Canis lupus familiaris: one gene and its partner. The protein of the gene in region 2 interacts with the protein of the main gene of each other region in a biochemical or structural test. Links are inferred from orthologs where the notes say so. Each region holds a gene or a part of one and is shown on either strand. Other genes may lie near its edges.

Evidence for each region.
Region 1: the proteins of SMURF2 (region 2) and SMAD2 form a complex in vitro, tested with the Homo sapiens proteins (3 studies listed by BioGRID and IntAct, with this or other methods). The link is inferred for Canis lupus familiaris from reciprocal best matches to the Homo sapiens genes SMURF2 and SMAD2.

Annotation. Positions count from the first base shown.
Region 1 is NC_049228.1:43,687,361-43,691,651, forward strand, and holds the start of SMAD2 (mothers against decapentaplegic homolog 2), read left to right. Parts: upstream 1-1,276; 5' UTR 1,277-1,374; intron 1,375-1,760; exon of another isoform or gene 1,761-1,844; intron 1,845-4,291. UniProt on the Homo sapiens protein: Receptor-regulated SMAD (R-SMAD) that is an intracellular signal transducer and transcriptional modulator activated by TGF-beta (transforming growth factor) and activin type 1 receptor kinases.
Region 2 is NC_049230.1:14,572,224-14,576,033, reverse strand, and holds part of SMURF2 (E3 ubiquitin-protein ligase SMURF2), read right to left. Parts: intron 2,875-3,810; coding exon 2,799-2,874; intron 2,547-2,798; coding exon 2,447-2,546; 3' UTR 1-2,446. UniProt on the Homo sapiens protein: E3 ubiquitin-protein ligase which accepts ubiquitin from an E2 ubiquitin-conjugating enzyme in the form of a thioester and then directly transfers the ubiquitin to targeted substrates.

The DNA of each region.
Region 1 (4,291 bases), on a different chromosome or scaffold from region 2:
GTGCTGGCCAGGGAGCCAAGAAAATGGTGTTTGTAGTGCTGGCTCTGGCACCGACAGCCTGCCCTAAGACCTAGGTCTCTCTTCATCTGTAGTCCTACGGTGCTCGCCGCCAAACATAGTAGATGCTTAGTAAGTAAATACTTGAACGTGATTAGTCGGGGTCCATGCTTCCGGCCGAGGCTTGGTGTCTGCAGGGTCAAAGCGACAAGGTTACGGCAGTGCGGATGCCCAGCCGCCCCCCCGGCTTTGGGCGGCCTGGACGGCCTGGGCGGCCGGCAGCTTAGGGCCTCCGGGTCGGGGCCTGCGAACACCGCCTGGACGCCGGAGAAACGAGGAGGAAGGGAGGGCCAGAGAGCGGTGAGGAGCATCGTGTTAGGCTCCTAGCGTCTAGACCTGGCGAGGGCCTCTCGGAGCATGCGGCAGTCGCACCACCTTCCGCGAAGGCGGAACCACGTCCCGGCTCTTCAGAAACACCTGGCATCCCCCCGCCCGCCGCGGGGGCCCGGAGAAGAGCCCCGCCAGCGCCGGTTTGCGGCTCGGCCCCCGCCCCGTTCGGCTGCACGAGGGCCCCGCCCACTCACTCGGCGCGGTCGGCCCGGCCCCGGCTCGGCGCGTCCTCGAGGCGGCCCTCGGGCCTCCCCCGGGACGAGCACGTGTCCGCTCGCGGCGGGGTCCGGGCGGTGGGCTCGGCGGCGGCCCACGGGCCCCACCCAATGGCGCGGGCAGGACGGCGGGGCGGGGCCGGGCCGGGGCCGGCAGCGCGGCAGGTCCCGCGCCTTCCCGCCGCGGAGCCGCCCGCGGCAGCGCGCCCCAGACGTCGCCAGCCGAGGCCGCGGGCGTGCCACCCCGCCTCGGCCCCGGCCGCCCGCCCGCCCGCCCGGCGGCCGCGCCTCGCCTCACGCTCTACGGGGGAGGCGGGACCAATCAGCGAGCGACGTCTCCCTTCCGATTCGAGGCCCCCGACGCGCGGCTCACACCCCGAGCACCGCGCGCGCTCATTGGCTGCGCGCGCCGCCGGTCCGGCCGGGAGGGCGGGGCGGCCGAAGGGAGCGGAGGTGGGGAGGTAGTGGCCCGCGAGTCTCCGAGCCCCGCTCGCGCCCCGGCCCTTCCCGGGCGCTCGGCCTCCCTCCTTCCCTCCTCCGCTCGCCCCGTCTTCCGTGCGCGCCGGGCGCTGCGCTCGGCCGGCGTGCCTCGCGCCCTAACGGGCGGCCGGGGGCGCCAATCAGCGGGCGGCAGGGTGCCAGCCCCGGGGCTGCGCCGGCGAATCGGCGGGGCTCGCGGCCCGGGGTGGGAGGCGGGTCTACCGCGCGGCCGCGGCGGCGGCGGAGCAGCTCCCAGCCAGCAGCCAGCGAGCGCCGAGCCAGCCGCCCGAAGGTGGGTGCGCCGCGCCGCGCCGCTGCGGCCGGCGGCGGAGGGCGCAGGGCGGAAGCGGAGGTGGGCCGGCGGGCGCGGCGGGGGAGGGCTCGGCCGTCCGGGCGGCCCGGGGCGGGGGGCGGGGGATGCGGGCGGGCTCGCGCCCGAGGGGAGGAGGGGCGGCGGCGCGGCGCGGCGGCGGCGGCGGCGGCGGCGGCGGCGGCGGCGGGACGCGCGTCCCCACCCCCTCCCTCCCGCGGGCGGTGGCCGAGCCCGCGTCCCCTCCCCGCGCGCGGGGCCGCGGGCCGGGCACTGGCTGGGGGGCGGGGCGGGCCGGGCCGGGCCGGGCGGCCGCGGGAGTGTTTTCAGTTCCGCCTCCAGTCGCCCCTTCCCCTCTCCCCTCCCAGCCCCTCATCCCATTCGGAAGAGGAAGGAACAAAAGGTCCCGGACCCCCGGCTCTGACGGGGCGGGACCCGGAGCCCCGGTGCAGGTAAAGCGGCGGCGCCCGGCGGGCCCTCGGGGTAGGGGTGTGTTTGCGTCGGGCTCGGGTCTCGGCGAGGCTCGGCGCGTCGCACGGCCCTGGGGGCCGGGGTGTGGCGGGGTCGGGGCCGGGGGCGCGGGGGGGCGCGGGGGGGCGCGGGGCCTGGGTCGGCGCCGGAGCTGCCCGGCCGTGGCCCGTCTCCCCTGCCGCGAACACGCTTCGTACTTTGTGGTTCTGATTTTCAAAGCCGGAGGGACCGAGCTCTTCTTGTTTCGGGAGTTGTTGGCAAGCCCTGGTAGGAGCGTGCGATACTTCGCTTCCACTTTTTTTTTTTTTTTTTTTGGTCCTGTAACCTTTGTTAACCATTCTAAACCCGGGGTTCGGAACTGCTCGCGTGTACTCTGCACAAGCAGGCACACGGCTGATCCTCCGTGGAGATCCTGCACTCACTTGTGAAAGTTGCCCTGGGAGTGGAGCCTGTTGGTTTTTATCACACGCCTTTTAGAAAGCACGCTAATTGATTTCACGTATTTCAAACTTGGTTTACACATTTGCAACCTTAATGGTTTTGTTCTCTCTTGGGGGATACTGTCCTTGGGGTTGGGTACTTTTGCCTTTTACTTACTTAACCTTTCTGTGGTTATGGTTTCCTTTTGATCCTAAACAAAAGAAAAAACAATACCTAGGTTGGTTTTGGTGTTCCTTCCTCTTGACCCCTTAAAAGCTAAATACTACCGGCTGGTTGTTCATTAAACCATTATTTTAAAAACCATCTCCGGGTGGAACGATTCTGGAAGTAGCATTTTCCGTGAAAACCGTGTCTTGTTTGTTACACTTTTAAGTGTCCTCAATTTTGCTGTCTTGAACTTCTAAAGTAACACATGTAAAGTAACTATTAATGAATAAATAAATGGTCACTGCAGACCTGCTTGGAGTTATTCCATTTTTCGAAAGTGCCCCCCCCCCCAAAATCTGAGTTAATTTACAGAATTTTTAATGATTCTGCAGTCTTAGTTCCTTTCCATTTTCCTTCTGAATTTTGTGTGAATTGAACCTGTACCACTGATTGTAAGGAAGTTTTTCCTTGAGCAGAATAAGAAAACAAATTTGCTACCACTCTGAAAATACATTTGCTATTGTTCTACTTTTGATTTTGACTCCCTTTAAAAAGTTTTTCTTAGGTAGAAGTGTAAGTTAAATAGTTAAATGAAGTTTGAGGAGTTTTAATGTAAATAAAGAGATAAGGGAAGCAAATGTAACAGTTGGGAGAGATAACGTGAAACGGATTTCATAAATGTGTCCTAGTTTGAAGATTTTATTTTTTCATTTGCTTTGAAAAAAACCATACAGGATATTGGTGGAATTTTTCTGAATCAGACGGTCATTTACCAAACATTTACATTAAATTTAGAAAGTAACGCTGACTTTATTTTTAAGGTTCCTTAGTTTTTGCCATAAAACTAGTTACGGTAGTAAATAAGAATATTTTGAGTCCAGGTGCTCACTTAGTTCTCTTAAAGTTGAGTTTAAGGTAGTTCAGTGGCCAGTTTTTATAAATGTGATAGGAAACATCCATTTCTGGGCTTGTTTAGTAAGAAATCGCTCTTTGGGCTTCGCTTTTGTACTTTGTAGCTATGCCTTCTATAGTGCTTTCACATTGTAGGTGTTCAGCAAGAGTTAGGTTTTCGTGGCTGTAACTTCTTACCTGTGCCTAGGCATAAGTGATCAAATCTCTACACAGTCTGTAAGGTTCATGTAATAATAGTCTTGTAAGAAACCATGCAGGGTAATTTCCTGTTGTTTGTGGCTTGTCAGGCCCGGTATGTGTTTTAACTAAGTAGGGATTTGGGGATGGTTTTGTGTATTTCAGCAGTCCTTTCTCTTTAATAGGAACAAAGCTGGTTTCTACTTCAAGATGGCAAAAGGTCCCCTTTTCATTTTCCTACTGTAAATATTAGAATCATATTGCCATAATCTTGTTACTTCACGTTGGGGGGAGATATGTGAGTGAAAAACAGTTGAGCTGCATCATCCACTGATCAAAGACCCATTTTTATATTTAGCAAATATTTTCAGTTTGGGCTTTTATAAATGTCTGAAAGCTCCCCTTATTCTTGTTTGGTTTTTATTCTGTTGGTTTTGTGCTTTAGGGCTCCAAAGGCCTTGTTTTGTAGCAGCTTTTTATACAGGTGTTTTTGTAATGCATATAAAAGCTGTATTTAGTGCAGTCTGGCAGATGGGGGCTTATTCATGTTCTTGGGACAAGTCCCTTTTAAAGGATGGAGAGGGGCATGTCTTTTAGATCCCTTGTCTTCTGATGGGAGGAGAGGAACCATTTTTAAGCTTTTAGTTTTTGTAAGATGAAAGCTGTTTTCCACTAAGTATTGCAAGGGTATGTCAGAAATGAGAAGTCCAAAGATTTCAAAAGCAATTCAGGCGAGGTTCTACATTTATTC
Region 2 (3,810 bases):
GCAGAAAAACCCAGCTAAGAGGGATGTGTGGAAATAAATATTCACATTACACATGAGGGGCGAGTCTCAGATTCAATGACACAGTGGGGGTTTAGTTTGCTTAGCACCTGTTTGGAAGTAATCAGGTAACGTAATTTTGAAAAATGAAATCTAAATCATGTCTTTATAAATCATGTTGGTGATACCATAGACTGCTAGGGTAGATTTCTTTTAAAGCTCTATTAAGTCATCATTATAAAGTTAAAAAGGCACTCAAAAGCGATGGTACTAGCCTGCTTTACTGTACGTTATGATAGTAGCATTTACTCCTGCATCCATTGGTTAGGACTTCTCTAATGTGTTCAGCATGGACTTCGTTTTTGGAAGATTGTAACAGTAGGCACAATCACACTGCACTAGTGCTTTAATATAACATACAAGAGATGAGTCTGCAGCCGATAAGGTACTACCGTGAAAGCTGACAACTGATGGAGTTTAGAAACCTTTTCTGTACATTTCAAGATGTTCTCGAGTGCTACTAAGACACAAGGTGTCTGGGAAGGAAAAGGTCAGTGGAAGCACGTTACCACCGCACAGGACTACGACTAGCTTGCATGTAGCGGTCCAATTTGGCTGAATGAAATAAATTCAAATGCTTCGAAACTACACAAGCAGTTCTCAACTCTTTTTTTCTAAACAGCAAAATTTCTGCTTCTTTTATCCCCGCCCGCCTCCACCTCCCACCTCTGGGAAAACTTACTTGGAATTCCAATACATAAAAGAGAGGACTTGGGAGCTGCTCCTGTACAAGGGGTTGAGGGTGGGGAGTTAGAGGCTCCAACTCAAATACCAACCAGGCCCCTCCTCTCCCTCCATCCCCTTCTCTCTTAAACCACTACTTCTGAGGCACCTCAGAGGAACCCCTTGGTTCGTGAACACAGACTGAAAACCAATCCATCAGATGAAAGAACACAAAGGGCCTATTCACTTGATAATTAAGCTGCAACATTTCCAAGGAGCTATCTCATCAAAATTTGCCCTTCTTGATTCACATCTGTGTAAGAAAAAATATATATAGTGCAGATTTCTGATAGTTGGATTTTAAAAGCCACCCATGACTTCAGATTTTTTCAATCCTTTACTCCAGAATTTTGGTTACCTTCTGGATCATGCAACATGCCACACACCTTGAAAGCTCAATCTGGGTATTTCAAAATCAGACACTGATCAACACCCAGGGAACTGGGATTCCCTTACCTCCAAAACAGAATTCTTCCGTTCTAAAGTAATTTATACCATAGATTCAGAATCACTATTTCTCCAGTAATCCTACCCCCTCCTCACCCCTACCTTCATTTTGTTAGGTAAAAACAGGGGTTTTCTAAGCTGGCTGAATAAAATTTTTCCTTTGTCATAATTTTAGCTGATTAAAATATTGAGCAGCTAAACAAAGATTGTGGATGGTTTACTTGATAGAAAGCTAGACCATAATTAAAATATAAATTAGGTGCACTTGTCATAGGAGACTTTGGTTTACAGAAATAGTATATATATTAAAGATACGCTGACCCAGCAAAAGAATGAAAATCCCATCCCATCCAACAATCTGAGGACCTATAAAAATGCAGTATTTCCATTTAAGATGAAGTAAATCCCAAATACCTGATCATACTGATTCAAGATAAAAAAATTAGGATTTTTTTAAAAGTCTCTTAAAAAAAGGAGCCCCTGAATGCATCTTACTGTATCAAATAAGCTAAGTTTAGACTAAATGGTTGCATTAGGAATCTGACAACCAAAATTATGTGGCTGTATTCCAGGAAGTTCGTGCTTGAAAAATATACAAAAGACTTACTTAGGCTAGTTTGAAACATATAATGCTTTTAAAATATAATGCTTTGCTATAGAAAAATGTAATTAAACATGTAAATGGCTTAATTGTTTTTTAAAGATAATGATTCCTTTAGCCAATTGTTTACAAAGGTAGAATAATTCAAAATAATTTTATTTATTTTTCTTTTACAAAGAGCAAGTACAGGAGCTGTTCAAAATCATGTATTCAATCAAAATGAAATGTGACGTGTACCGACTGCTGAAGTTGTCTTGATGTTTGAGAGACTTGAAATCTGTGGAGCAATTTGAATAGATTACCTTTTATAAAAATAGTAGTAGTCTTTAAGTGTAGAATACTGCCTAACTCTGGAAATGTAGGAAAAGTCAGCATTCTTTAGGTTCAAGATATTAATTTTAAATAGCAGCTGAGTGTGGCCTCATGGCAAAGCATAAAGACCTCTTTTTTTTCCTTGAAAAGGAATTTCAAAATTGTCCTTTCCCCTCACAGTGTCCTAAAAATCTTTTGGGGGGGGGGGGAGGCATTTTCCTGTATTTCAGCATTCCGCGAAACTTTGCTGAAAGGAGGCTGTCGGTCGGGGTATAAATAGAGTCCTGGGTAAATCCTTGAAGTCCGTCATTCCACAGCAAACCCACATGTTTCTTCAATGGCTGTTAGCAGCTTTTCATATAACTTTTCATAGCTTTCATAGGGCGGAATGTCTATTCGATTGAAGCTGTAAATGAGCAAATCAGATTGACACAGTTCATTCAGAATAAGCAAACTGGTCTAGCAAGTGTATACTAATACAGTCACATCACATTTCATGACACACAGAAAATTAAAAGAAAAAGTTGTACTCCTCTAAAGTAGAGACTGCCACTTTCAGGCTTTCCTACCAATTTCTGCATAATCTCAAATTCAAATCGGTTTAAACCTAACACCTACGTACATGGAATGCAGGGGAAAAGCTTCAAAAACAACTTACCAAGTGTGGGCTTTCGGCAGGTTGTTAGTGCAAGCATCAATCTGGTGTATGGTGAAGAGTCGTGGGCCTGCAGCGCCTGCAAAAGAAGTCAATGTGGGTCACGTCACTGTAGGTGTGTGTGTGAGTCTCCAAAATCTCAGAATAAAACTGATACGTAAACCACAAGGCCTAAGATGGAACCACTGGTGACTCCACATAAGCTGCCAAGGGCAGGAGAAAAAGAATCTGGGTCTTGAAAAATGAAATTGACCTTGGATAAACACTGGATTCCTTAATATGCTAGCATATCAATTTGAGAAAAGGCCCAGGATTGGAATCCTTTGCCAACTTCTTCTATTAAAAAATCAATGTGCCAAATGTATGAGAAGAAAAGTAAATGGATAAATTCAAGATCAAATATATATATACACACATTCAAAAAGATGACAACCTAAATGCAAATTTAGATTTCATGCCTCAAACCTGGCCGAGAGCAAAAGATTAGCAGTCCATGGAATAAATTCCAGTTAACATAAGACACCCCATAAAAGTGTATGTAGAAATATAGCTTCACTTTACGCTTCTGGGTAGTCTGCTAACAAGTTCTCCAAGTAAGGAATTAAGCACAACTCCAAGGATGCCTTCCCTGTCTGTGGACTTCCAACACGTGTGCTGCGGGCAACGCTGTCCTGTCTGGCTGTGTAGGTCTTCAGATGTGACTGGTGGCAGCAGCCTTGCAAATGAAGAGCTTCAGAGGGAAAGGAAGCAAGTGCCACCCAGCGAAGCGCCACAATCCTTAGAGATATTGCCAACTCGCCCCCAAATTAAATAGCTATGCCGCAGAAAATAAGTCTTAAAAATGGAGTATGTTTGGAAATAAATGGTCTGACACTGTGCAATAATGACCAAACAAATGGCTTCCACAATGCAGGCTGCCTCCAAGAAAAGAATACAAAAGTAGAGGGAAGAGGCGTCCCAAGTGGGTTTTGGCTCTGCCAGGTTGAGGTGTGGAAGTGGAAGCAGACAGGCTTTC